3 linked regions of the Arabidopsis thaliana genome follow. The protein of the gene in region 1 interacts with the protein of each later gene in a pairwise test. Each region holds a gene or a part of one and is shown in the gene's direction. Other genes may lie near its edges.

Region 1 (2,980 bases):
CAAAATTGTTGACATTAAAAGTATAACAAAATTCTCTGACTTATGTCTACCGATGCAGCTTATTGTTAATTCCCAAATCTAAGCTTAACTCTGTTAGCATATAAATCCTGATTTAGTAATGACATATTGATACTTTGTTACTTTTCATCAAACAATCTAATACTGAACTAGATGAAAATACAGCATTGATATAACTGAAAGATGGTTATTGACAGTGATAAACTGACCTAAATTATACCCTAAACTGACACACAATTCTAAAGCATATCAGTTTCTAAATACACAATAGATACAAAACTCATGAATCAGCTCATACCCATGAATCTCGACAAATACAAAAACCCATGAAAATTATAGCTTATAAGCATCATAAACTCAATACAAAACCCATGAATCTTACTTTGTCCAAAACGAGCTAAAATAAATAATCGAATCCATCTAATGACTCAAGGACAAATCAAACCCGTGAGTCTTACTGCAAGAGATAGAGAGGTAGAAGGGGAGAGTGAGAAATAGTGAAATCAAATCCATGAAACAGAGAGATAGAAGGAGAGAGTGAGTGAGAGAGAGAGAACGCACGAGAAATCCGGCAAAGAATAGTGGATTACGGCAAGAGATAGGAGTGAATTCTAGTGAGAGATCCAGTGAAGAGGTCCGGCGAAGTGAATGTCGAGGAATGAAGGAGAAATAGGTTTAGGTTTTGCTGGAATTCTTTTTAGGTAGGTGTATTTTATGACATTTCGTATTTTGGATTAAATCAGCTTCCGTTAACTGCTGTTCTGTTCCTTTTTTAAATGAGTTTATTAAAAACCATCCAACTGATCCTTCTCGCTAATCTTTTAAAGTACTGTTCGTTTTTCCATTCGATGATTCATCTAAATGAAGATAAATATTGACGTTCGTTTATAATAATTTAAAAGATCATCTGAATGGAGAAAAGAACAGTATCTAATTCACACACAAAATGAACATAAAAATTAACTAAAACTATAATCATATTTTTCTCCAACAATTTTAAAAACCAAAACCCATGAATGTTCGTTAATTTCAGTTTGTTTAGTGTAACGTAGTTTTACCCAGTAAATAATAATTTATTAAAAAAATTGTGGTGTTGGTTACCAATTTTTACATTTTCATTGATATTCACTACAAAATACACAAATAATAATTAATTCATAATCTATGTGAACGTGGAGGTTTACTTTTATTAAAACATAAGACCCTAGTCAATGATTTTTTCACACGTAGTAGATGATTAACTGTATTTTCTGAAATCAGATACGGGTAAATCTGGAAAGTAAATATTATTACTAAGGTTGAGCTTTTGGAAAAGTAAAAATATTTCTCTTTAAAAGAAAAAAATAATAAAGATTTTGTTACTTAAAATTCCAATATTTGTTTCCCTTTTATTGTTTTCCTATTATTAAAAGGATTAGATTAACATAAAAGCAATCAACCGACTTTAATTACCAAGTAAGAAATTGTTTTTACATAGATCTATAAATAGGGCACCAACTTCCCAAACCTTGAGACCATCACACAATTCACAATCAATCGCAGAGCCGATTCTCTTCAAAACTTGTCTAGTCCTTTGTCCTTGTTGCAAACGATGGCAGAAACGAAGAAGATGATCATCCTCAAGAGCTCCGACGGTGAATCCTTCGAGGTCGAGGAAGCCGTCGCGGTCGAGTCCCAGACGATTAAGCACATGATCGAGGACGACTGCGTCGATAACGGAATTCCACTTCCCAATGTCACCGGAGCCATCCTCGCGAAGGTTATCGAGTACTGCAAGAAACACGTTGAAGCCGCTGCTGAGGCTGGTGGAGACAAGGATTTCTATGGTTCCACCGAGAACCACGAGCTCAAGACTTGGGACAACGATTTCGTCAAAGTTGATCATCCTACTCTCTTCGATCTCCTTCGGGTTAGTAATGTCTTTTTCTTTGTTTTTTGGTTTTATGTTTTTAGAATTAGGGTTTTTTATATTTTTTCCATGACTATGTTAGGGTTTTATTTATATTATTGAATGTTGTGTTTTGATTTGGAGACTAATCGTCTTGGTTTATAAAGGCTGCCAACTATTTGAACATCAGTGGACTTCTTGACCTTACGTGCAAGGCCGTGGCTGATCAGATGAGAGGCAAAACTCCAGCGCAGATGCGTGAACACTTCAACATCAAGAACGACTACACACCTGAGGAAGAGGCCGAGGTTCGCAATGAGAACAGGTGGGCGTTCGAGTGATTGGAAAAGAATTTAAGAACATTTGATATCAACAAATAAAATAAGAGAAATTTATTTTGCCTGAATTTCTTTTTGCTTCCAATCTCTTTTGTCACAAAACTCCCAGAAGTGTTTCACATTTTCTTCATTCAATCCCGGCTAAACTTTATATACATAAAATCACAAAGTAATATGCATTATCAATCAAACGATTTCACAGACAAAAAAAACAGAAAAGAGATAATAATACGTCTATCTATATAAGCTATATAATTATGATGTATTTATATATCCAATTTGCCACGTTTATTTTATGATACAATAACATGTTTGCCCGAGCCATAGACGATATGAGGCCAGATGAACATGGTCGGATCTGAAATAGTCTCAATTTCTGAAATCCAATGGTAAGAGCTTATCTTCCTTTCTTATCTGCTTAAGATATAGATTTTTTGAATTTCCTTATAAAATGATTGGTATGTATAACTAAATTGGTTACAGAAAGGAAGAAAGGACCTTTTGCATCATTCGAACCAATATAAAAATGGTTTTGTTTTGGTGATAGTGAAATTAAAAATAAGCTTTCCTTATACATTGATCAAACTCGTACATGATTGGCATAATTCAGATGATTCTGCTTATACCAACTAATATGTTTTGCTGTATATGCTTGTATATCTCAGATGAGAACGGTCAATGTTTGGTAAGAAAGACACTAAACTCTGTTGTTACCAATACAAAGGTAAGAAGAGTT
Region 2 (4,654 bases), on another chromosome or scaffold:
TATTCAGACACTTTACTTAACTGAAGATACTCTTGAGGTCAGTTTTCTATTATGTTCTCTCTGGTCCATTTTTGAAAGATCAATTGCAAAGTACCTCATTCGGGTTTTTTTTTTCTTGTTTTCAGGTTCTTACTATGTGCTGTGAATCAATGCCTGTGTTCAACAACCTCAAAACCTTAGGACTTAAAAGTGATGAGGGTCGCGGTTGGCAGGCAGTGCCAGCTCTTCTGAGAAACTGTCCACATCTAGAATTTCTAATCATTGAGGTCAATTACAGACCATAAAACTACTCGGACAACACATTTGTTAAAGTTGTTGGTTAGACTCAATCGTCTTATTGTCTTCTTTATGCTTTCAGGGTCTCTTACACTCTGTGACAGATAAATGCGGGGATGCTTGTGACTGCATTTCGCGGGAAGACAAAGGTCGTTCGCTCATATCTTGTCCAGTGAAGAAGTTAGAGGTTAGAGGGTTTCGTGGAACAATTCGAGAGAAAGAGATGATAAGGCATTTCTTGGAGTATTTCCCGTGTTTGGATGAGATGGAGATAGATGCCGAAGAGAATGATTCTACAAACTTTGAAGTGCCTAGAATTTTAAAAGTTGTCGCGTATAGGCTCCACGATGTGGTCTCGACAGAGATAGTTGGACATTGGCAGAGTTCGGCACAATCTGGGGGTTGGTCCCAGACCCAGATGGATGAGATGTACTATGAGGTACACTATTTGATCACCGTTTTCAATCACATAAATTCATGACAGCTTTGAATAAACTAACTGTCTTTTCTTTTCTTTTACAGTTGGCTCCCCGCAATAAAGAGCGTATCTACGATATGTTCTTCTTCATGCGTAGAGCTTCTTCCACGGTACCTCCTCCTCCGCCACAAGAGATGTCTCAAGACTACCTTCAGATGCAACTTGAAGTTGCGGATCTTAAGGAGAGGCAACGAGACCAGGAAGCCAAGCTTGCGGATCTTAAGGAGAGGCTACGGGCTATGTTAGATATGATTGTTGACCAGAACCCAATTATAGCCTCAGCGTTGAGGGCTAGAGAGGCAACTAACTCAGAGCGAGAAAAGGCGTCGAGTGGTCAGGAGATGACCGAGAAGGAGCGGGACTATGATGCTCTGTTCGATATCATTGTCGAGCAGAACCCAATGCTAGCATCGGCAGTTAGAGCTCTGCGTGCAACCGACTCAGAGCGTGCTGAGACATCCAGTAATCAGGAGATGACCGAGCTCGGCCAAGCTACGGCAACATATTTTCCCCCACGAGAAGGAGAATAGATCTGTGATTGTTTTCTTAATGCTTTCCAATTTGGTTCGGTTTGTGTTTATTTAGTTGGAATTCCAGTTCAAAATCCTGAAGCGAAGCAGCTTGTAAATTTGGATCTTCATATCTTCCCTACTCTCTCGACGTTGCATCTGTACACGGTAGGTGCGGAAGCTAACTGTTCTCTTCTGTCTCTGCTGATTTTATACTCCTTTGAAGGTATCTTATATCATTTTTGCGGGTACAAGTAATTATGTTCGACTGCATATAAAGTTATTTGATTTGAATTGTCCGGTTCGCATTAACCAAACCAACTTAAGCTTTCAGTTCTTTTTTCTTCCCGATAAAAAGCAAACTTTCAGTTTAAGAAGCTGAGACATCCAAAATTCAATAGCATCATCAGCTCATCACGATGCTTCTCTGTTTATAATCCTAATCAATTTTGCAACTGGGCGTTGGGCCTCACCTCCGTAACCCAAAGTCAAACAATTCCGGTTTGTTTACCGAATTAAACCGGTGATTAAAGTAGAACCAACAACATCCACACTTGGTTTTAAAAACCCTCAATTTCGTTTGTCTGCTGTCTTCTTCTTCTTAAAGTTGGATGTTTCGGCTACTCTGATGCATTTGCATGTATTGTCGAACTGAAAGTCTGTGACTTTTCTTCTCCTCTACGATAGAAACCAGTGACCTAGCACTCCCAACTCTCACTCTTATCACTGGACGCATTCTCCAAAATTTTGATCTTCGATTAAGCCATTCGTAGCGAGGTAAATGCTCAAGTTTTACCTATCTCCTCTGCTTCCACTGATTCTGTTTCTTGATTCAAAGTTTTCTTTGTGTGAATTCATATTTTCGTGTGAATTCATATTTTCGTGTGAATTGTGAATTAGGGTTTTCTCTGTTCCCGTTTCTACTCTCTCATCTTTTGGGGAAAAGTTGTCAACTTTCATGTTTTACCTGTAGCCGTAATAACGTACTCTTAATCTCGTGTACGCAAGATGGATCGTGTCAGCAATCTACCAGACGGGGTTCGTGGTCATATCTTGTCCTTCCTTCCCGCCAAGCACATTGCTTTGACTTCGGTTCTCTCAAAGAGCTGGCTCAATCTCTGGAAACTTATCCCTATTCTCGACATTGATGACTCTGAATTTCTTCACCCGGAAGAGGGTAAAGCGGAAAGGCTTGAAATTCGACAGAGCTTCGTTGATTTCGTGGACAGAGTTTTGGCTTTGCAGGATGATTCTCCCATTGATAGATTCTCTCTCAAGTGTATAACTGGTATTCATCCAGATCATGTGAATCGTTGGATATGTAATGTGCTGCAGCGTGGTGTTTCCGATCTTGATCTTTTCATTGATTTTTCCTATGAGGATACCCAAGAGGATGAGGATATGCTACCTCAAGAGATGTTCGTCAGTAAGACATTGGTCAAGCTGAAAATAAGAAATGATCGTTGTGTGGATTGGTGGTGTGGAAAGGGAGGCACTTCCTTACCAATGCTTAAAAGTCTTTATATTGACTCGGACTTGATTCTTTGGGGTAAGATGAAAAGGTTTCTTTCTTCTTTCCCTGTGCTTGAGGAATTACGAATGGCTAGTATGGAGTGGAAGGAATCACACGAAACCGTGTCAAGTGCAAGCCTCAGGAAGCTAAGTATCCTTGGCACCGGTTGTGAAGACTATGTGAATCCAAAGAGCATTTCTTTTGATACTCCAAGTCTTCTTTACTTAAACTACTCTGATTTAGTTGCCGAGGATTATCCATTAGTTAATATGGGAAAGTTACTTGAGGCTCGAATCAACCTTATAGTAAAAGATGATCAGATCAAGCGGGTAAGAGAGCCAAATAATGACTTGTTACAGGATGATGCGGGTAATGTTGTTCTCCAATTTGGCAATGTGGTGAAGCTCATGAACGGCATCCAAAATATTCAGATACTTTACTTAACTGCTGATACTCTTGAGGTCAGTTCTCTATTTCGTTCTCTCTGGTCTATTTGAGAAAGATTAGTTGCAAAGTATGTAGTTGGTTTTTAATTCTTGTTTTCAGGTACTTTCTCTATGCTGTGAATCAATGCCGGTGTTCAACAACCTCAAAACCTTAGGTATTAAGAGTGAAGAGGGTCGCGGTTGGCAAGCAGTGCCAGCTCTTCTGAGAAACTGTCCGCATCTAGAATATCTAATCATTGAGGTTAATTACAAACCATGGAACTACTTGACAAAACATTTGTTAAAGATGTTGGTCAGACTCAATATACTCGGTAATCTTATCGTATTCTTTATGATTTCAGGGTCTCTTACACAATGTGACAGATAAATGCGGGGATGCTTGTGACTGCATTTCTCGGGAAGACAAAGGTCGATCGCTTGCTTCTTGTCCCGTGAAGAAGGTAGAGATTCAAGGGTTTAGAGGAACGATGAGAGAGATAAACATGATAGGGCACTTCTTGAGGTCTTTTAAGTGTTTAAAGGAGATGGGGATATTTCCTGAAGAAGAGGGTCCTACAAACTTTGAAAATCCTGGAGCGTTTGAGTATGTTGAGAAGATATTGAAGCTCTACAATGAGATATCGAATTGTGATGTTTACTTCCTGGTGTGGGGTTACATGCGTAGGAAATGGACTACACAATGAAGTCTACGAGTATGAAAACGTGTTCATGATTTTTCTAATGCCATGTTTCCTTTGATTTACTTGTGCAAACTAAAAGGTGTCGAAGGCATGTTTCCATAGTTGACCCAAAACAGAGTAGTTTCTTTGGTTAAAAAATTGAAATGCATTTTCCTTGGGCAGTTTTTATGGTTTTGTAAAAGAAAATCCTGAAGGCTATTATAATTCGTCACCATTTTCCTTGCATTGAACTTCTCAGACTCTACATTGGAGTACGTTCATAAGAAAACCCATCACTGGTGAATATATCAAAGTCAAAACAAGTCTTAGAAAGAAGATAAGATCAGACTCAGATAACAAGAGATGAAACAAAGTAATAAAGCAGAGTGTTTAAAAGCAATTATTTGGTAGTAGTTTTAAGAAAAGTTGATCTGGATCTTACAATTGACCGAAGCTCTAGGAAGCATTAGTAGATCAGTGGTGATACTCAACTTTTCCTTGTCGCTACTTGCCCAAACACCAAGTTTCACATGCTCAAGACATGACAACTTCCCTAAGAAATGCTTCAGTTTCTCCAGTTCTTTGGTAGTTCCTCTGTAATGGGAGATCTCCAGGACTTCCATATGACATGACAATAGACAATTACATCCCGACGAGCACTCGCAATAATATTCAGGTTCTTCTTCTTCTTCATCATCATTGAAGTCTCTGTAGTACAAATGCAATGGACCCTGACGCAATCGAGAGAATAAGAAATTAAACATTTAGGAGTA
Region 3 (4,116 bases), on another chromosome or scaffold:
CCAAGTAGCTTGTATACCTGCAAGTCTCTCGTGATCTTGAAACTCGATGGTGGGATTATCTTGGATGTTCCTCCGATGGTTTGTCTTCCCTCTCTGAGAACTTTGGAACTTAAAGGTGTGAGAGTCTTCAGTGACGCATCTCTTCAGCGGCTTCTATCTAATTGCCCTGTTCTTGAAGATCTAGTTGTGAATTTATATCATCATGACAATACTCTAAAGTTGACTATTATTGTCCCATCTTTGCATCGTTTGTCACTCTATATAGGTTATACTTGTGATGTAGATGAGTTTGTCATAGATACTCCTTCTTTAGAGTATTTCAAACTTGAGGATCGTAATTATGATAGTCACCCATGTTTGATCGAGAATATGCCTAAGCTAACGGTAGCATACGTCGATGTTAGATCCACTGATCTTCAGAGTCTCATCGGATCAATCACTTCTGTCAAGTATCTAACAATATCCTCTAAGGTAATCAGTTTCAATCTATCTTTGATCTTGCTCTTTAAATTCTCTGTTTATACTTTTTTTTTATTCGTTCGCAGGCTATGTTTGGTGACGGTTTTATTTTCAACCACCTTGAGCATCTGACGCTACCTGTATGGGATGATTATCCGTGGAATGTCCTTGTCCAGGTCCTCAAAGACTCTCCTAACTTACGTGAACTAAGCTGCCTCTCTGAAATGAATGTAAGTTCCTTCGTTTAACTTGTTTTCTTTTGTACATTATTTTGTTGTTCAAATCTAATTCTTCTGCTTGACTTCAGGATCATCATCAGAATTTTGGTCTGTTTTTATGGGATCAACCGAGTACTGTTCCTGAATGCATGTTGTCGAGTCTACAAAAGTTCACCTGGACAGAATATTTAGGAAGACCAGAAGACACAGATATTGCGGTTTACATCTTGAAAAACGCTTGTCGCTTAAGCACTGCAACAATCGATTCTGATACACGTTTGTTTACAAAACTCGAGATGATAACGGAGTTGACACGTTCTTCCCGAGCTTCAACAACATGCGAGCTTATCTTTTATTGAGGTTTTGAATCATTAAATGTTTTCATTTATATAATAGGATTCTATAAGTTCCATCTAGACTCGTCTGATTGCCCAACAAAGATCAGGTAATGAATGTCTTACCTACTTGCAGTGGTTTCTCTTCCATCTCTGAAAACTTTAAGACTAGTTTATAACTAGGAGATATACAATCTTGTTGCTTAGACCTAAGTTTGACAACATAATGTTAATCTTATTTGATTCTTAGAACTTGTGAGGGTCTAAGGCTCTATGATACAAATTGTATCATACAATGTGTCAAAGATATATTGCAGAGGTTCCAAAATCTCATTTATCTTTTCTCACAGTCTCTTCCAAAGCCAAATACACCGTATCAGTATACCACGCTCAGACCTAAAGTCAATCGTGAAAAAAGATTCTGAAATATTGACACTTACCTGGTTAACTAGCATGAATTTACAAAGTATGGAGCTGATAGCTACTGCCTCGTTGTGCCAGGCATCAAAATGATAGCCATTATTATTACCAAAGATTCCTTTGTAGGATTCTTGAAAAAGAGGCCCAACCCACTTACGTATCAAACACTTCTCTAGGCCCATATAGGTATCAATGAATCCCTAAAGCCAGTAGTTAAGTGTAGTGTCGCTACAAATTCTGATTCCTTCTTCTATTTTCTCCTTTTCTCGATTTCAGAGTTGTAGAGTTTCCAGAAATGCTTCCGCAGAGTTCTTCAGGCGCTTTTGATTAACCTTCTGATTCCGGTTCCGGTACAAATAAATCGAGCCTCCACTGAATTTCACTGGACAAGACTCATCACCTAACAAACCAGAGCTTCTTTCTAGGGTTTGTCTCTTGTTCTTCTGTTTTCACTTGTTTGGTATGCTTGAGACAAATCCTTTGAGTCTTTATTGTGTATTCTTTTTCAGGGTCGGTGACATTTTCTTGGTTGTTGTAAGACTATGGACAGAATCAGTGGGTTACCTGATGAAGTACTGGTTAAGATACTGTCGTTTGTTCCGACTAAAGTTGCTGTGTCAACGAGCATTTTGTCGAAACGATGGGAGTTTCTTTGGATGTGGTTGACTAAACTTAAGTTTGGTAGTAAACGTTATTCAGAGTCTGAATTCAAGAGGTTACAGTGTTTTCTTGATAGGAATCTGCCATTACATAGAGCTCCCGTTATAGAAAGTTTCCGTCTTGTGTTAAGTGATTCGCATTTTAAACCTGAGGATATCAGAATGTGGGTTGTAGTAGCAGTTTCTCGCTACATACGTGAGCTGAAGATTTATAGTTCTCACTATGGGGAGAAGCAAAACATATTGCCAAGTAGCTTATATACCTGCAAATCGCTCGTGATCTTGAAACTCGATGGCGGGGTTCTCTTGGATGTTCCTCGAATGGTTTGTCTTCCCTCTTTGAAAACTTTGGAACTGAAAGGTGTGAGATACTTCAAGCAAGGATCTCTTCAGCGGCTTCTATGTAATTGCCCTGTTCTTGAAGATCTAGTAGTGAATCTATCTCATCATGACAATATGGGAAAGCTTACTGTTATTGTCCCATCTTTGCAACGTTTATCACTCTCTACACCTTCTAGTCGTGAGTTTGTCATAGATACTCCTTCTTTACTGTCTTTCCAACTTGTGGATCGTAATGATAATAGTCACACCTTTTTGATTGAGAATATGCCTAAGCTGAGGGAAGCATATATCAATGTTCCATTCGCTGATATCAAGAGTCTCATCGGATCAATCACATCTGTCAAGCGGCTTGCAATATCCTCTGAGGTAATCAATTTCAATCCATCCACTGCTTGTCCTTAATCTCATTTTAAAAACTCTCTGTTAATACTTTTCTTTATCGTCCGCAGGTTGGTTACGGTGAAGGTTTTATCTTCAACCACCTTGAGGAACTAACGCTATGGAACAAGTATTCTTCGAATCTCCTCGTCTGGTTCCTCAAAAACTCTCCTAACTTACGAGAACTAATGCTCGTCTCCGAAACGGATGTAAGTTTCTTCCATTAACTATTACATTATTTTGTTCTTTAAAAACTAATTCTTCTGCTTGATCTCAGGATCATGAGAATCTTGGTATGCTTTCCTGGAATCAACCGAGTATTGTTCCTGAATGCATGTTGTCGAGTCTACAAAAATTCACTTGGTTTAAATACTTAGGAAGACCACAAGACAGAGATATTGCGGTTTACATCTTGAAAAACGCTTGCCGCTTAAGGACTGCAACAATCAAATCTGATACACGTTTGTTTACAAAACTCGAGATGATAACGGAGTTGAGACTTTCTTCCCAAGCTTCATCAACATGCGAACTCAACTTTTCTTGAGGATTTGAGATTCTAAGATGTCTACATTTATATAATAGGATTGTAATTCCTATCTAAACTCGTCTGACTGTCCAACAAAGATCCTATAACGAATTTCTTGTTCTTCTACTCTCTTGCTCGTATGGTTTAGTCTGTCATAAAAAAAAAAACTTGTTTACGTATAATGGAGATACACCAGAGCGAAGTTGTATACCGATAGTATAATGGAGATGCTTTGTGAACAAGAAAAGAGTACTAGTTCTGTTTTGGACCATACGTCTCTTTGCACTTCTTATACACTATTCGTTCTCAAATTCGACAAGTTAAGGTCAACTTATTTGATGCTTGTAACTTGTAAGGTTCTAAGGCTGTATGATACAAATTGAATCATACAATGTGTCATTGCAGAAGTTCCTTGCCAGTTCCACCCAAGCTTAAGTATTTATCTATAATATTTTCCTCAACTAGTTCTTTATTTCATTATTTGTGTAGTCTTGGAAGTAGTTCAAAAAGAGCAAACATATAAGTTGAAATTAGAATCATATGCTCACCAAGCACATGTGTAGTTTAATGAAAGTCAATAGGAAATAAGTACATAACTTAGTCTTGAAAATGGTGTGTTTCTAAGAGTATAGTGTCATGCTAAATGTGGATCTTAGGTTCTATACTTACCCAACCTCATATCTCTTTCTCTCTCTCGCTTATCTATTCTATATGCTGTTGATTCTTACTTCTCCAAAACAGATCTATTTCGGTATGTTTCGTTCTTTGCTTTTAGCAAA

What was found. The genes of interacting proteins can lie anywhere in the genome.
Region 2: the proteins of SK3 (region 1) and AT3G58930 interact in a two-hybrid assay, tested with the Arabidopsis thaliana proteins (2 studies listed by BioGRID).
Region 3: the proteins of SK3 (region 1) and AT4G10400 interact in a two-hybrid assay, tested with the Arabidopsis thaliana proteins (2 studies listed by BioGRID).

The regions. Positions count from the first base shown.
Region 1 is NC_003071.7:10,948,181-10,951,160, reverse strand, and holds SK3 (SKP1-like 3), read left to right. Parts: upstream 1-1,534; 5' UTR 1,535-1,609; coding exon 1,610-1,927; intron 1,928-2,073; coding exon 2,074-2,247; 3' UTR 2,248-2,414; downstream 2,415-2,980. UniProt on the Arabidopsis thaliana protein: Involved in ubiquitination and subsequent proteasomal degradation of target proteins. Together with CUL1, RBX1 and a F-box protein, it forms a SCF E3 ubiquitin ligase complex. The functional specificity of this complex depends on the type of F-box protein.
Region 2 is NC_003074.8:21,777,632-21,782,285, reverse strand, and holds AT3G58930 (F-box/RNI-like superfamily protein), read left to right. Parts: upstream 1-1,622; 5' UTR 1,623-2,040; exon of another isoform or gene 2,041-2,271; coding exon 2,272-3,237; intron 3,238-3,322; coding exon 3,323-3,463; intron 3,464-3,563; coding exon 3,564-3,905; 3' UTR 3,906-4,112; downstream 4,113-4,654. Other genes in the region: AT3G58940 (F-box/RNI-like superfamily protein), read left to right, coding at 1-37, 126-266, 359-715, 799-1,284; AT3G58920 (F-box/RNI-like superfamily protein), read right to left, coding at 4,298-4,612.
Region 3 is NC_003075.7:6,445,574-6,449,689, reverse strand, and holds AT4G10400 (F-box/RNI-like/FBD-like domains-containing protein), read left to right. Parts: upstream 1-1,553; 5' UTR 1,554-1,618; intron 1,619-1,667; exon of another isoform or gene 1,668-1,708; 5' UTR 1,709-1,858; exon of another isoform or gene 1,859-1,941; 5' UTR 1,942-1,974; coding exon 1,975-2,799; intron 2,800-2,882; coding exon 2,883-3,020; intron 3,021-3,088; coding exon 3,089-3,355; 3' UTR 3,356-3,574; downstream 3,575-4,116. Other genes in the region: AT4G10410 (Leucine-rich repeat (LRR) family protein), read left to right, coding at 1-115, 266-471, 546-707.